Linked DNA regions of Notamacropus eugenii. The protein of the gene in region 2 binds, or shares a complex with, the protein of the main gene of each other region. Links are inferred from orthologs where the notes say so. Each region holds a gene or a part of one and is shown on either strand. Other genes may lie near its edges.

Region 1 (8,293 bases), about 320 Mb from region 2:
TGGGCAGAGAAGTAGGCATCTCTTGCAATTGTCTCCACAAACAGTTCCTGTGGCAAAAGTAAAGATCATATAACTGAGGCCCAGCATGAAGTAGGAGAACTCTGCTTCTTGCTGACAAGTGAAAGCAGGCAGAAGGTCAGAAGGTGAGAGAGAAGAAGAGGGAGGTGGTCAGTTTTAAGACATCAATACAACCTTATTCAACACTCCTTCCCTGTTCTTACTGACTCCTTATCTAATTCCCCATAGTCACTGTTCTAAACTTCTCCTCTCTCCTCAAGCCCCCAATCATACACATAACCTCAGCATTTACAACAGGTAACAGCTTTCTACTTTACTGAGAAGATTAAGGCTATCAAATGGGTTGTTGTCCAATTGTTTCAGTCATGTCTGACTCTTCGTGACCCCATTTGGGGTTTTCTTGGCAAAGATACTGGACTGGTTTGCCATTTCCTTCCCCAGCTCATTTTACAGATGAGGAAACTAAGGCAAACAGGGTGTGGCGACTTGTCCAGGGTCACATAGCTAGTAAGTGTCTGAGGCCAGATTTGAATTCACAAAGATGAGTCTTCCTGACTTCAGTCCCATCACTCCATCCGTTGTGCGACCTAGGTGCCCTATGACATTGGAGTGCCTTTAAATTCCCTCTATTACTCCTCAAAGCTTCTGAGCATCAGCACCCATTCTATCTTCCTCCCCTTCATTTTCAAAGGAAGATATATTTATTTTTTTACTAAGGCTAGTCTTCTAGCCAGTGGACTTGATCCCATAACCTCCTGCCTCTAGGACCTTATTCTCGAAATCATTCCTTCTCTCTCATGGATTTTCAATATCTCCCTTTCCACACATACTCCCCAATCCTAGAAAGCTTTCCCTTGACCCTTCTATCCCATCTAGCTACTGCATTATCTTTTCATCCCTTCAAAGTCAGACTTGATCCTCCTGCAATCTGGCTTCCAACCACAGTATTCTATTAAAACTGCTCTCTCAAAGGCCATCAATGTCCTTGACCTCTCTGAAGGATACAGCACTGATTGACACCTTTCCTATATAAATCCCTTTTCCTCTTCCTTTAGTTTCAGAAACACCACTGTCCTGGTTTTCCTACTTCTCTAGCCACTCTTTTGTCTCCTTCCTGGCTCCTCAATCTCTTCTCAGCTCTTTGAGGTATGGAAAGGGAGAGAGGAGGGTGCCTGATGAGGTTTTGCGCTTAGCCTTCATCTTGATATGCTTTCTCTTTTGGCAATCTCATTTACTCCTATAGAATTTCAGAGATTAGGTAAGTCACAACTTTTGAATGCCAGAAGTAACATACTTGAAGAGTACTAATTGTAGAAAAGTTGCTGATAGAGTAAATATCCTCAGCAGAAGTTCCCTATATGAATGAAATCAGAAATGCCAAAAAAAACTTTTTTAAGAGAGTGGTGGTAAAGGGCGAGAAACAAGGAACTATTCTTGGCCCTAGAGATACCGACTTAAGAAAATTAACAGTCCCTTCCTTTAAGGAGCTTATAACTTACCAGAGACTATAGCATGAATACTACTAAGTATATAAAGTAAATACAGAGTAAGATATCCCCACAAGTACTCATCCAGTCTCTCTGGGAGAGCTCCCAAGGGGCAGAGCCTAATACTTCTTGAAGTAGTCCATTCCACTTTGCACAGCTCTAAAACTGGTAAGTTATTCGTCACCTCAAGTCTAAATTTGCATCGTTGAAATTTCTACCTTTTGCTCCTAGTTTAGATCCCTGGGGCCAAAGAGAACCCCTGATCCCTCTTCCATGTGACAGTCATTCAAATACTTTATGATAATTATCACATCTCCCACATGTACACCTTCTCTTCTCTAGACTAAACCTCTCCAATTCCTTCAAATAATTTTCACTGGACATTAACTTGAAACCACTCAGCATCCAAGGTGTCCTCCTTTGGATTCTCTAATTTGTCATTGTCCTTCCTTAAAAAGTGGCACCTAAAACAACTTATTTTGGAGAAGGAAATGGCAAACCACTCCAGTATCTCTGCCAAGAAAACCTTAAATGGGGTCACAGAGTCAGACACAACTGAAAATGACCGAGAAACAGAATTTAGCAGTATAGCTATCATAGAAAAATCCCAAATTGATCATCTCTACCCTTCATTTCTCTCCCAGCCTCTGGTGTCTACAAATAAGATCTTTTTCAGATCTAAAACCTGTAAATTGCCCAAGGGACATCTGCCCCTGAGTGTCCCGACAGCTGCTCAAAAGCAACATGCACAAAACTGGAATGACATCTTAACTCTAAAATCTGCTCCTCCTTCCAATTTCACTGTTCCTATCAAAACCTTGGTGTTATCCATCTTTAATTCTTCCCTGTCCCTCACCTTCCGCATCCAATCAGCTACCAAGTCCTGTGCACTTAATCTTACACAGCCCCCGTTACCACCACCCTAGATTGTTACTCTAGGTCTTTCCCCTTAAGCTCTCCTCCTTCACACTGCCATCAGATTCATCTCCCTTATCATGGAACACAGACCACAGTCAGGGAATTAGAAGTCACTGAGAGTGGATAGGGGAGGAACTGGTCCTGGAGTCAGAGAACCCAGGTGCAAGTCCCAGCTCTGCTGCTTCCCACCTGCACGATCTGGGGAAAGTCTTTCCACCTCCCTGTGCCTCAGTTTCCTCTCCTGCGAAATGAGAGGATTAGAGCAGATGGCTCCTGAGGTCTTCTCCAGCTCTAGAAGTGCAGGAGCCCTCCTCATTTTACAGATGAGGAAACTGAGGCTCAAAGAAATCTAAGTGATTTACCCAGGATGGCACGGCTAAAAAGCGTCTGATGTGATTTTTAGACCCAGGTTTTCCTAAAAGGTTTTGCACCAAGTTTGTCCATGGATCTCCCCGACGCAGCTGGTTAGGCCCCGCCCCCAGCTCCACCCACTTCCACTAAGTCCCTCCCAGCCCCGCCCCTAGCTCGCCAGGCCCCACCCCCAGCTCGCCAGGTCCCGCCCGCGCGCACCGCGGCGCGAGCCAGGATGAAGATGGCTTCCTGGCCCGCGAGTGTCACGTCTGGGTCCGCCTTCACCAGCGCCTTCACCCGCGCCAGGGGCAACCGCGACAAGCGGGGTGCGGCCGACACCGCCGGGGCCTGCGGAGGAGGGGCCGCCGCCGGCGCTGCCTCTCCACTGGGGCCCTCCTCCGCCACTGGCGCAGCCGTCGGGCCGATCGACCCCGCCGCCGTGGCCGCCGCCGCCGCCGCCATCCCGAGCCCCTGTGCGTGCCGCGTGCGCGTTCCTCTAGCCGGGGCGCGAGCGCGCGGGCGCCTGTCCTTTTCCCGCCCTGGATCCCCTCTGGCCCCGCCCCTTCTTGCCGCGTGTCAGCTCCAGCCCAGCCCCTACCACCTCCAGGGGAGCGGCTGGGCTGCATTACCGTATTTACTGGTGGCAGTGGCCGAATCCTCCTCCAGTCGCTTTTTCTGTCTTATCGTCCTGGCCCACCTTGAGGATCAGCCCACCGCAGGACGCCTGGGTTTCTCAACCATTTACGAAAATTCAGCCGTCTGCGCTAAATGCTGAGTTTAGATCCCAGGCTGAAACCTGAAAGGGTCCACTTCCTTGTTTATTCATTCATTAAACCCCAGTTGGCACAGGGGGAAACTGAGGCCCGGACTAGGGGAAATGATGTTCAAGGTCACATAGCAAGTCAGCGTCGGGGGAAAGATTTAGAGCAAGGCCCTTTCCACCGCACCGAATTGCCCGACAAAACAACGCCCTTGCCCTCCTGGAGCTCACGGCTCTGGTAGAGGGTCGAGAAATAAAAGTCAATTGTTTTTAACTGTACGTAAGGGCATGGGATAGGTTCTAAACAAAGTGCTGTGTGAGATGCCAGCGCCAGGTCGGTGGGGAGGGTCGGAAGGTTCAGGGAAGACTTGCTGTATGGTCTGGCCTTAAAGGAACTAAAGTAAGGATACATTGTTTCCAGGCTCGGTGAAACTTTCCACAAGTGCCCAGCTCAGGTTCTCCACCCTACGGAGTGACTGTGTGTCAATCCAAACCCTCTGAGCTTCTGCCCAGTGCGGAGGTCTGCATGGAGAGAAAACCATGTGGCCATCAGGAAGCCCATGAGACAGGTTCTACACAACACCTGGAAATCTTTCAACCAGCCCAAAGAAATTAAGCGCCAATGGAGCCCCTTGGGTGCTGAGCAAACAGAGAAAGTGGTGACCCTGCAGGAAATGAATTTTGAGGAATGTCTTCTTTCATCTCTTAGACCTTCCCACTGTTACAAATTTCCTTTCCTGTTTCTATCTCCCGCTGATGGGCTGCTTGGGTGCTTGTGCTTGGACCCCAATTCCAAGATCACATTTCTCCCTAGCTTCAAAACGTTATCCCTCACGGTTTTCTCTCCAACCCAAGGACACTATGCCTAGCAAGAACTCATGAGTGGGTCGCAGTAAGACGAACTATTTCCCCCCACAATTACTCATGAGTGGACTCCAGTAAAACAATCTTTCCCCATCACAAGAACAAGTTGACCTCTGAAGAAATTCTCTTGTAAAAACAGGACTATCTTGTAATCACAGAATTATCATGTATCAATCCCAAAGTTATTATATTCAATCCACAGGTCAAACTACACACATCAATTCTCAAAGCTATCTTACTAGAGAGTAACAGACCAAAAATACATTCCTGAGAAACCCCTTCCCCTGGTTTCCAGTAGTGGATGACCACAGTTATAAGTTGTAAATTGGCCTATGATAAAGGTTGTAAATTATCACCTAATTAGCATATCTGCCAGATAATCCACTACTTTTCCTATGTAAACTTTAGCATCATTCATGCTAAATTGCAAGTTTCTTAGGGAATACAGGTTCCCTAAAGGACTCTGCCCAAAGCATTACAATAAACCTTTGTCACCTTGACTTAAAGAATGCTTGAGTCCAAGAATTCATTACAGACAACCCTTTCCTGCACTTCAGTCCTTAGGGGGGAGGGGGTGGTCCCTAAACCTCTTAAACCTGCCGCCACCTTCTTTTGTTCTTTTCATTGTCCTTTAATTTAGCATGGTTTAGGGGTGCAAGCACTAGATATAAAGTCAGAGGACCTGGATTCAATTTCTGGCTCTACTGTTTGCTGTCTTTGTGACCTCAGAAAAGTCTCTGGGTCTTAGTTTCCCCTCTGGATAGAACTGCTTTGTAGGCACAAGAATTCTCAGGATATACAACACCTGAGGGTTTACCTCTATTAACATCAACAGGAAATCATACCTTCACAAAACTTATGTGAAAACTAGGTTTATTACAAGAAGAATGAACATGCATATGAAAATCAAAGCAAGAGCAAACAATTCGCAGTCCTTACAAAAGTTTTCATTTTGATAATATAAGGCCAAAGGGAGGAGGTGATACCAGGAAGGGGAGTGACATGGAGAGGGCCATGACATCAGGAAGGTGAACTTAGCCGTATTGTAAAAATGTAAGAAGTTCTGTGATGATATGCTTTATGAGTATTGAGGAAATAATGTTACTGTCTCAAAATTTTCATTAACATCTTCCATATTTTTTTGATCTGTTGCATATTTATAAGGTCAGCCACAAACTAGAGGTATTTTTTTCAGTGCAGGCTTCTTTATTGCAATAAATGACTTTTTTTCTTTTAAATTTCTTTGCTGTACTGAAAACAAAGAGGTCAAGGCCGTTAGAACACCCAGCCCTTAAAGGCTATAGTCTCATAGCATCAAGCCTCAGATGGTCCCCGGCACTTCCCAGATCCGTTTTTCACATAGCCCAGGGATCAGGATATTCAAGTAAGTAAATGACCCATAGGGAATTATTATTTAACTCATCTTCAATCAGTAGAGTTCAATCAGTAAAGCAGATATCCAAGGCATAGATTTAGAGCTGGGGGGGACCGTAGAGTCAATAGTCCATAAACATTTTTGTTGTTCAGTAGTTTCCAACTCTTGCAACCCCTTGGACACCAGACCCTTCTGTCCTCCGCTGTCTCTTGAAGTGTGTCCAAGTTTGTATTCATTGCTTCAGTGACATTATCTATCTCATCCTCTGCCCTCCCCTTTTCTTTTTGTCTTCAATCTTTCCCAATATCAGAGTCTTTTTCCATGAGTCCCATTGTCTCATCATGTGGCCAAAATATTTCAGTTTCAGTGTTTGACCTTCCAATGAATAACCTTTAAATGTTGATTGATTTGATCTCTTTGCTGTTGCAGGGACTCTCAAAAGTCTTCTCCAGCACCATGATTGGAAAACATCAATTCTGCGGAGCTCAGCTTTCCTTATAGTCCAGCTCTCACAGCTATATGTTACTACTGGAAATATCATGGCTTTGACTAATAGGCCTCTGTCAACAAGGTGATGTCTCTGCTTTTTAGTATACTGTCCAGATTTTCCATAGCTTTCCTTTCAAGGAGCAAGCATGTTTTAATTCCATTGTTGCAGTCACTGATTGCAATGATTTTTGAGCCCAAGAATATAAAATCTGACACTGATTCCATTTCTTCTCCCTCTATTTGCCAGAAACTGATGGGACCAGTTGCCAAGATCTTAGGGATTTGGGGTGTTGTGTGTGTGTGTGTGTGTGTGTGTGTGTGTGTGTGTGTGTGTGTGTTAAACTTTAAGCCAGCTTTTACACTCTCCTCTTTCACTCTTATCAAGAGGTATCTTAATTCATCTTCACTTTCTGCTATTAGGCTGGTATAATCTGAATATCTGAGATTGTTGCTATTTCTCCTGGCAACCTTAATACTGGTTTTTGATTCATACAGCCTAATATTTCACTTGACATATTCTGCATATAAGTTAAATAAATAAAGTGACAATATAAATCCTTGTCAAACTCCTTTTCTAATCTTAAAACCAACCAGTTGTTCCATGTTCAGTTCTACCTTGCTTCTTGGCCCACATATAGGTTCCTCAGGAGATAAGTAAGATGATCTGGTTCTTACATCTCTTTGAGGACTTCCCACATTTTGTTGTGATCCACACAAAGGCTTTAGTGTAATCAATGAAGCAGAAGATATTTTTCTGGAAATCCCTTACTTTCTCCATAATCCAGTGAATGCTGCAATTGATCTCTAATTCCTTTGCTTCTTTGAAAACCAGCCCGCTCTTGCCCAGTATCGTATTGGATACTTTCTGACCTAAGAGGCCAGATGTCATCTCTTTTATCTTAGTACTGTCCATGGGGTTTTCTTGGCAAAGATCCTGGAGTGGTTGACCATTCCCTTCTCCAGTGCATTGCCTGATGTCAGAACTTTCTACTATGACCTATCTGTCTTGGGTAACCCTGCATGGCATAGTACATACTTTCAGTGAGCTATGCAAACTACTCCCCAGGGGGAAAATAAACGTTAATAAGTGGTTAAACACTGGTGATACAGATAAGAGAAAGAAAAACAATCCTTGTCCTCAAGAAGCTTATATTCTAATTAGGGAAGAAAATGGCAACAAATAACTGAAGGGAGACGTTTGTGGGGAGGGGGGTTATAATGATCTTGGAGTCCAAACCAAGCAGAGCAATTGATAAGAAATAAAATTAGCTGGAAGATTTTGAACCCTCCTAAAGAGAAGTTTGTTGTTGAATCATGTTCAACTTTTTATGACCCTATTTGGGGGTTTTCTTGGCAAAGACACTAGATTGGTTTGCCATGTCCTTCTCCAACTCATTTGACAGATGAGGAAACTGAGGCAAACAGGGTTAAATGACCTGCCCAAGGTCAGATACATGTCTAAGGGCAGGCTTGAACTCAGAAAGATAAATCTTCCAGACTCTAGGCCCTGCACTCTAGCCATTGTACCACCTAGTTGGGAAAGCAATGTTTGAGGAGTTTATTCCTCTATCCTCAGCCCTTCAATCAGAGGGGCTGCACCTATATAAAGTAAATTTTAAAATATATACAGTGTAAGGGATAAAGATCTGTGAATTCGTTGGTCTAGTGAACTGCCAGATGGGAAAGCTCCTTGTACCATCGTAGGCTGGTACAGATTCTGTAGATTGTAGTCTTAGAATGCTGCCTAAAGCTTCCCAGAAAAAGACTTGGCAACTAATTAGAAATTGAGGGAAAGCGAAGAGTCAAGGATGACCTGGAAATCACAAATCTGAATGACCAGAAGAATGTTGGAACCCTCAACAGAAATAAGGAAGTCAGAAAGAGGAATGGATTTGGAGGGAGCAATAATGAATTCTATTTCAGACACGAGAAAGATGGCAAACTAAAAGAAAAAAAGTTGGAAATCTAAAAAGAAAATAGATTGTATGCAAAAATGACGAAACAGGAAACCAGTTGCTATAGAATATAAAC
Region 2 (8,093 bases):
TCCTTTTGATTTTCCCTGCCATAATAGTAACTTTCTAAGGTCAGATTCTTTCTTGTTGTTTACTCACTTTTCTAGCCTATTTCTTGACTTTTAGCTTTGTGTTAAAGTTGGGTTGTGTTCCCAGCATAGAGAGAACACTGTTCCAAACTTCAGATTTTTTGTACTTTTGTTTTCAGAGCTAGTTCTGGGGGTTGACAAGTTTTCAGTTCTTCCAAGGTGGTATGGTTTAAGGAGTGGTGTGATGTGCTCTCCTGGCCTGTTTTCTGGTTTGTAAGTGACCACAAGCTCTCTTTTATACCCTGGAACTGTATCCAGGGTCTCTGCTTCTGCTAGTGCACCTCCTAATCCTGAGACTATGACCCAGAACCATGTATGGGCAATGCAACAGAGGCCGCCTCCAGGGCCAACAAAGGGTGCCCTGAAATGTCCTTTTGACCAACTATCTGAAAACCCTTACCATCTGTGGACTAAGAACTCTGGAAGCTACAGCCCTCAAGACCTGCTCCTGACTTGTTGGGGCATGGCCTGTACTGGTGCAGCCTATGCTAGACTTTTCTCCACTCTTACCCCAGTGAGATAGATCTTTCCTATCAACCTTCTGAGTTGTCTTGGGTTGGTCAATTATTTCACCCCTTTCTTTTGCTGGTCCTGCCACTTCAGAATTTGTTTTGAGGCATTATTTTAAAATTGTTTGGAGGGGAATTTTGGAGAGTTCAGGTGAATTCTTAGCCTGTACTCTACCATTGTGGCTCTGACCCCAAAGTATAATCTTGAAACAGTAGCTTTATCATTATAATTCTGAATAGCAGAATTGGTGTCCTTACTCTCAGAAGTCATATCCTTGACAAATTGATCCTATCTTAGGAAAGAGAATAAGTTTTTCAGTCCTGAAGTTTTTTGGCCCTGGCCTTTAATAATACTTAGCCAGTAAAGATGGACTGTTTTTGGGCATGGTTATATTCTTTACCTTTTCTATCCCCAGTATGAAGCTGCTAAGAGTTTGAGGTCCCAATGGTTCAGGTTGTCCTCACTTGGAAAATTGTTTCATAGCATGTTTAGACAATGCCTCCTCAGAAAGGAATTTGGAGGACCAAGGGGTACAGATGTTGAGGGGTACCTTCCTTTCCAATGCCAAGACCAACAGGCCTTTCATCTTCTCTGACATTGACACCTAAGGTCTCCAGTACTGTTATCTGTCCCATCTATGTTACCTAAGGATCCCTGGTTTTTTTCATCTGTCTCATCACCCTGAGAACTTCTGGGCCTTTCTATGTGCCTTGTAGCTGAACTTTCTTTTCTGTTGTCTCCTCTTATTACAAGGTAAGGTCTTGAGAGTAGGAACTGGATTACTTTTAATATCTATAACCCCAAACCTCAGCACAGTGCTTGGCACATAGTAAGCATTTCATAAATCCTTTTTCATTTGCTCATTCATGGGGAAAACCACCTCTACTTAATTATAGTTAATGTGAACTTACATAGAAGAAAGTGAATCCCTTAGTTGACTTGGTAACAATATTGTGTTCCTAGATGAAAGTGAGGAAGAGTCTTTTCCCACTCCCCGTGAAGGAAGAACACAGCCCCTCAGAAGAATCCTCTAAAGGGGCAAAGATTCAGGATTGCCCTTCTCCCCCATGGTGCTCCTAGGGAGAGAGAGGTCCTGGCTAGTGGGCCTAGGATCACTGCGTGGGCTGTGATATAAAGCAAATCTCTATATCAACTTTGGCCTTGGGATAGGTTGCCTATAAGAGGTAATACTTAGCTACCTTAGTACAGATGATCTAGATGGTATGGATAGAACTCTGGGTCTGGAGTCATGAAAACCTGAGTTTAGATTTGGCCTAAAACACTTATTCACTGAATAATCTTGGGCAAGTCAATTAAGCTCTATCTGCTTCAGTTTCCTTATCAAATTGCAAATAAGTTATCCTTATCAAATTGCAATTGGTCTCAAAAGGGGACAATAATTGCACCTACCTCCCAGGTGTTATGAAGATAAAATGAGATCTTTGAAAATGGTTTGCAAACCTTAAAGTATAAATGCTAATTATTATTATTGCCCTTACAAAGGAGGAAACGTTCAAATCTGAAAGACAAATGGAAGGAAAGAACTAATACTGTACACCTACGTTCTGGTTCCACAGTCTTACCTGGCTTGCCTCACAGCAAGGATACCCCTCTCCTTTTGGGGGAGTATAAAAATAGCCAGTCAGAGATCAGTCTCTGGAAGAGAGAGTGGAAGGACAACCCCTTACGCCCTGCTCATCACTCTCTTTACTTATATCTATGTGTATATGTATCTGTCTATATATTCATATATATATGTGCATACTTGTAAATATATGTGTGTGTTTTAAGGTTTACTAAGGAGTATGTAAACACATAAAAAATAGCAAAGAAACTCATTTATCTAAATCCTAGCAAAACAGAAATCAGAGAAATAGGTGAATACATATCAAACAATATAGAGTGAAAGAGCTCTTCCACTGGGAGTGAGGTAACTCAGCTCCACCAAGACTGTCCTTGATCTCATCCAAGGAGAAACTCACTGTAGTCTCTAGTGTAGCAAGCTGGAGATAGGGACATGATGAAGACTGCCGTTTCCATTCATATCTTCTCAGAGTCTTTTCCTTCAGCAGCCTGAGTTGTGAACTGCCTCTCCCATTTTTCATTTCTAAGTGCCAGAATCACCCACAATGACTCAAAGCTTGAAGACCAGAAGCTTGATAGAGGGCTCTCACCTGAAGAGTCTCTGAAGAATCCTAAAGGAGGACTGGTAAAGTCCACACAGGGCAGGGCATGGATCTCCATGAATAAGGCGAGTGTCCCCTACCAATCAATGATCTTTGGAACAGGGGTTTCTTGCTTGTTGTCAATTCAGTTATGTCTAGCTCTTTGTGACTTCATTTGGAGTTTTCTTGGCAAAGATACTGGAATGGTTTGCCATTTCCTTCTCCAGCTCATTCTTACAGGTGGGGAACTGAGGCAAACGGTTACGTGACTTGCCCAGGATCATACAGCTAATAAGTGTCTGAGGCCAGATATGAACTCAGAAAGATGAGTCTTACTGACTTCAAGATCAGCACTCTTTTTCATTCAAGGATATACATTGATATTCATTGTCCTCAGCACCATGCCACCTAGCTACTGAGAGAATTTACACTTGTAAATTTACATGGTTTGTACATAGTTTGTTTTCATGTTGTCTCCCTCCCTCCACAAATAGATTTTAAGCTCCTTGAAGACATGGACTTTTAAATTTTTCATCCTTTTTTATAGTAAGTGTATAATTCATTTTTTAAAGTCTAGACTTGATTATAGTCCATATGTTTTCAATGGAGTTTAAATCAGGTGAGTTCCTAGCCCATTGACTTCAACGTTTATGTACATCTCTTAGACAAATTTCTTGATGTGTTACATTGTAAGTTGCAGTATTTTATCTCCATTGGAGAATTTCTGTAATTCTGGAACGATTCTGCTTTTTAAGCACACCAATCTATTATGGTTCATAATGAACAGGGACAAGATTTCCAGCTTCGCTATAAGTTAAAAAAAAATCCCCAAAACATTTTTGGTTGTATGTCTTACAGTCTAATGAAGATCAATTAACAAGTATTTATTAGGAGTCTATTATGTGTGCTAGCTATTGATGATAAAAATATGAGTGAAACAATCCCTGCTTGCAAGCAGCTTACAGATATAGGCTCACCCAGACTTCTGACAATGGTTTGGTATATCCTTGAATGAAAAAGCAAATTTCACCAGCTAAAAATAGGTTTTTTTTCAATCTTTAGCTTGGGATGAGCCTTTATTCCTTAATAGCAGTGGGATGAGCCTTTATTCCTTAATAGCAGTGGTTAGTAGCTTTCCTTCGTGCTTCTGTTCATCTGAGCCTGGTTCATTGTAAGCCTGAATGATCCTTTACCTCTTCACCCCAACAGCTACTGCAGTAACTAACAGCTGTTGAAGTGTTCTCTTTAAGAGCCGTACCTTTTCCAAGTTTTCCTGCACTAATATCCACGCTTGGAAGGAAAAGTTAAAGATGCACCAAAAGAGAGCAGTGACACTGACATAGTACAAGCTATCCAAAGCCCAGCTGAAGAAGAGTCTGGGGAAGGTCGGAATTTTTAAGCTAGAGGGAGGGTAGCAGACCGGAAGTAAGCCTACTGCTCCCTTAAGCTTTGGTCTGGGAGGTTGGATCGGACTCCACCTAACTAGCTAAATAACACCTCGTCCTTTCTGTGGCGAAGGGGGTTGTTGGCCTACTGTTAGAAGCTCGTTAGACCACGGCTGTCCCCACATACGGAAAAGCTACAGGTCGTCCCAAGTCGTTAGATGCCAGCTCCTCAGGCGGGAGGGGTCTAAGCCCCAGCAGGCGGGGTAGCGCCCCGAAGGTCGTCGTGTTCAAGGTGGCGGCTGAACTGAAGTTAGAACAAAACAGCTATTCTAGAGTCGCAAAGGTGAGGACATGATAGTGCCTTCCAGGTACAAACAGCTTAGCGCCGTGTCTCACTCTTTTGAAGTCCAGGATGAGCCTTCCTTTAAAAAAATAAAAGTCTGGCTAGTAGCTGACCCTAAAACCAGCCCGTTCCAAACGCATGCCTTTGTTAACATCGCCAGAGGACTTTTCTCTTAAAGGGGGAAAGGAAGCGCTTCCGGGTCAAAACGAACCGAGGGGCCACCAGACAGGGCGCTGCAGCGCTCCGTTCGAGGCCACGGGGGCTGGCACAACTTCCGGGGAGGGGCGGGGCTGGGGGCGGGTCCTGCGGAAAAGGAGGGGAAGGCGAAGGAGGCTGGGCCGCCTTGGCGCCAAAATCCGAAGATGGCGCCGGATCGGTTGCGGAGCAAAGTGGTCTCTGCCTTTAAACTGCGGGGCTATCTGCTCCGGGGGTGAGTTCTCTCGGGGCACGTTTGGTGAAGGGGGGGGGGTGCGGGAAGGAGGCGGGTCCGGACAACGCCCGGGCCCCCCATCTGGGCTCGGCGCGCCCCAGCCCGGGCTGGGGAAATCTGAGTCCGACTTCCCGAGGAAGGAGGGAGATGGAAGCATTTATTAAGCGCCCACTGTTACCGGTGCTGGCCGTACAGAGCGAGGCAGAGGACAAGCCCTGCTGTCCTAGATCTTCCAGTCTAATGACAGGAAGCGACAGGTGCGGGATAAACGGAGGTGATCCGCAGGGCCGAGGGAGTGCAGGGGCCGTCTGCAGTGCAGGGGTCTGAGCTGAGTCTTGATAGAGGTGAGGAGGCACTGAGTACAGACTGTGCAAAGGCGCGGATTCCGGAGACGGAGAGAAGCCAGTGACGCCGACAGGTAAGGCGGGCCAGGTGGTGAAGGACTTTGAAAGCCAAACAGGATTCTATAGGTCAGGAAGTCACTGAGTTGTAAGAGGACAAACTGGCCAGCCATATTCCATTTTTTAAAAAAAATATATTTATTTTTAGTTTACAACATTCAGTTCCACAAAGCTTTTGAGTGTTAAATTTCCCGCCCCCTCCCTAAGACAGCGGGCAATTTGATATAGGCTTTACATATACATTCGTATTCAACATATTTTCACATTAGTCATGTTGCAAAGAAGGATTAAAACCAATGGAATGAGCCACGAGAAAGAAGAAACAAAAAAAAAAAGGGAGAGCAAATAGTGTGCTTCGATCTCCTTTCAGACTCCTTAATTCTTTCTCTGGACGTGGACAGCATTTTCTATCAGGAGCATTTGGAGTTGTCTTAGAACCTTGCATTGTGAGAAGAGAAGAGCTAAGTCTATCAGTTGGTCATCACACAACCTGGCTGCAGCTGTGTGCAGTGGGTCAGCATTTCTTACAGCACCATAAGATCCCATCACATTCCCCTACCACTGCTTGTTCAGTCATCCCCCAGCTGATGGGCATCCCCTCGATTTCCAGTTCTTGGCCACCACAAAGAGAGCTGCTATAAATATTTGTGTACATGTGGGCCCTTTTCCCATTATGATGTCTTCGGGATACAGAGAAGTGGTATTGCACTTTTTTATAGCCCTTTTGGGTGCATATATATATATAATATACATATATATATATATATACACTAATTTAAAAAAAAAAAAACCTTGGCTAAGCCAAGAAAATGGAGCATTAAATTATTTTACTGTGAACTCGCAAATAACTAAAGAGTTGTATAGGCATTTAAATTTGTGAATTAAGTCAACAAGTGTTTATTTAAATTCTGACTAATCCTAGCACTCTTAGGTGCAATGGGTTAAGAAAAATAGTCTAAAATAGCTCCTGCTCATAAGGAACAATCTTGTTGTTAAGACGAGGTTCAGTTCTTTTCAGCAAATAAAGAGTACAACATATTGACTGCAAAGTATAATGGATAATGTGAGATTGTTTATGAAGGTGCTTTAAAACTGTAGAGTGCTATACAGATGCAAGATATTATTCATAATTGCTTTAAGTAGAACATGATAAAGTATCATAAAAGATACAAAGTACTATGGAAGTTCAGAGTGGGGAAATGTTCTTTCCTGTTGGGATTAGGGGAAACCTTATGCAGGTATTAGAGCTGTGCATTAAAAGGATGGGTAGGATGTGGGGAAGGGATTCTAAGAGGAAGAAGCAGTGAGATAAAATGTATGTATATGTGAAAACATATGACATATTGTAGGAATGGGATCATTTGTCTAGCAGGTTGTGTTTACAGATTAAAAAAAAGATCCAGAGAGGTTGGGTGAAGTGAATTTTAAAAATATTTTTATATCCAGTTTTCATTTTTATACAGAATTACCAAATAGTTCTCTGACCCCTAGTCTAAGTAGAAACTGTTTCTAAAATTCTTTTTAAAAGCATTTCTTTTGACTTTTAATTTTTGTCTGTGTTTAAAATTCCCAGTCATAAGAAATTTGTCTTAAATGCAAAATGTCTAAAAAGATCAAGTATGTTATTTTAAGCTCATTTGAAAAGTCTGTTATTTGATCTACGTCATTTTTTTCAACTACTCTGATTTTCCATTGTATATATAATATCAGGGACATGGGTGATTCAGTGATGCCAACTGAATCTTAGCCATGTCTGTTCATTACATGCTACTCCTATATTCACTGTGGGTAGTCCATCCAATGGTGTAGGAACCCTTACTTTATTCTCTTGATGTTACATGCATTCTAGTGGAGCACATGGGCTGCCTTTTGGTTATCCCTCCTAGTCATTAGGAAATGAATCCAGCCATTTTTTTTTTCTGGTCATACATTTCTTTGATGACTCCTTTGATACTGCTCCTTTTTTGTTTTTTGTTTGTAATGTATTACAGGCTATATAGGCCCATCATCTACCATTTCATCCCCCTTTTGGGTGATCCCCAGTTTCAGTTCTATACAGAACAAATGAATAAAGCATTTATTAAGTGCTTACTATGTGTACTGGGGATAAGCTCACAATCTAATGGGGGACACAGCACATGGAAAGTTTCAGTTGCAAATTAGATGGAAAAATCCTGTAGACCTTAGAGTGCAGTGGCAAAAACAGATGTTAATGCCTCTTCTTTAATGTCATTGGTCCCTAGGTTTTTGGGTTCAGGGTTCTGGAGATGTGGTATTGGTATTTTACGTGAAGTCAGAACTGGATACACATTTTTCTGGAGTGGCTGCAGTGCAGGGGAGAACTGTGAAGCTAGTGTAGATTTTGCAATCAAAGAGGTGATCCAAGGACACTCTCAAGGTCTCTCTCAAGAACTTTGGAATTGATTGTGTGATATGGGAGACACTGACACAGGACCACTCAGCATGGTGTGCCCACATCAGCGAAGGTGCTGTGCTCTATGAGCAAAGCAGAATTAAGACAGCACAAAGGAAGCATAGGAAGTGCAAATTTAGAGTGTCTACCACAGATGTTCACACAGACTCTCTGTGCCCAATCTGTAGTAGAGCATTCCGAGCTTGTATGGGTCTGATCAGCCACAGTCGGACACATTGAAACTTGACTTTATCATAGTGATATCATTTTGGTTCTATTCAAGGATGAAGGTCAACAACCAGCCAACCATCCTGGCAAATATCTCTTCCCATCTCTCCTTCAGGGTACCTTTCCTGCTTCATCAGCTCAGGTGGCTTGCCTACCCTGTG

The links. Proteins that work in one complex are often made in the same cells at the same time.
Region 1: POLE2 (region 2) and POLE4 share a complex: the UniProt entries of both Homo sapiens proteins name them as parts of the DNA polymerase epsilon complex. The link is inferred for Notamacropus eugenii from reciprocal best matches to the Homo sapiens genes POLE2 and POLE4.

Annotation. Positions count from the first base shown.
Region 1 is NC_092872.1:630,209,795-630,218,087, forward strand, and holds the start of POLE4 (DNA polymerase epsilon subunit 4), read right to left. Parts: upstream 3,284-8,293; 5' UTR 3,237-3,283; coding exon 2,994-3,236; intron 48-2,993; coding exon 1-47. UniProt on the Homo sapiens protein: Accessory component of the DNA polymerase epsilon complex. Participates in DNA repair and in chromosomal DNA replication.
Region 2 is NC_092872.1:309,331,408-309,339,500, forward strand, and holds the start of POLE2 (DNA polymerase epsilon subunit 2), read left to right. Parts: upstream 1-4,764; 5' UTR 4,765-4,822; coding exon 4,823-4,890; intron 4,891-8,093. UniProt on the Homo sapiens protein: Accessory component of the DNA polymerase epsilon complex. Participates in DNA repair and in chromosomal DNA replication.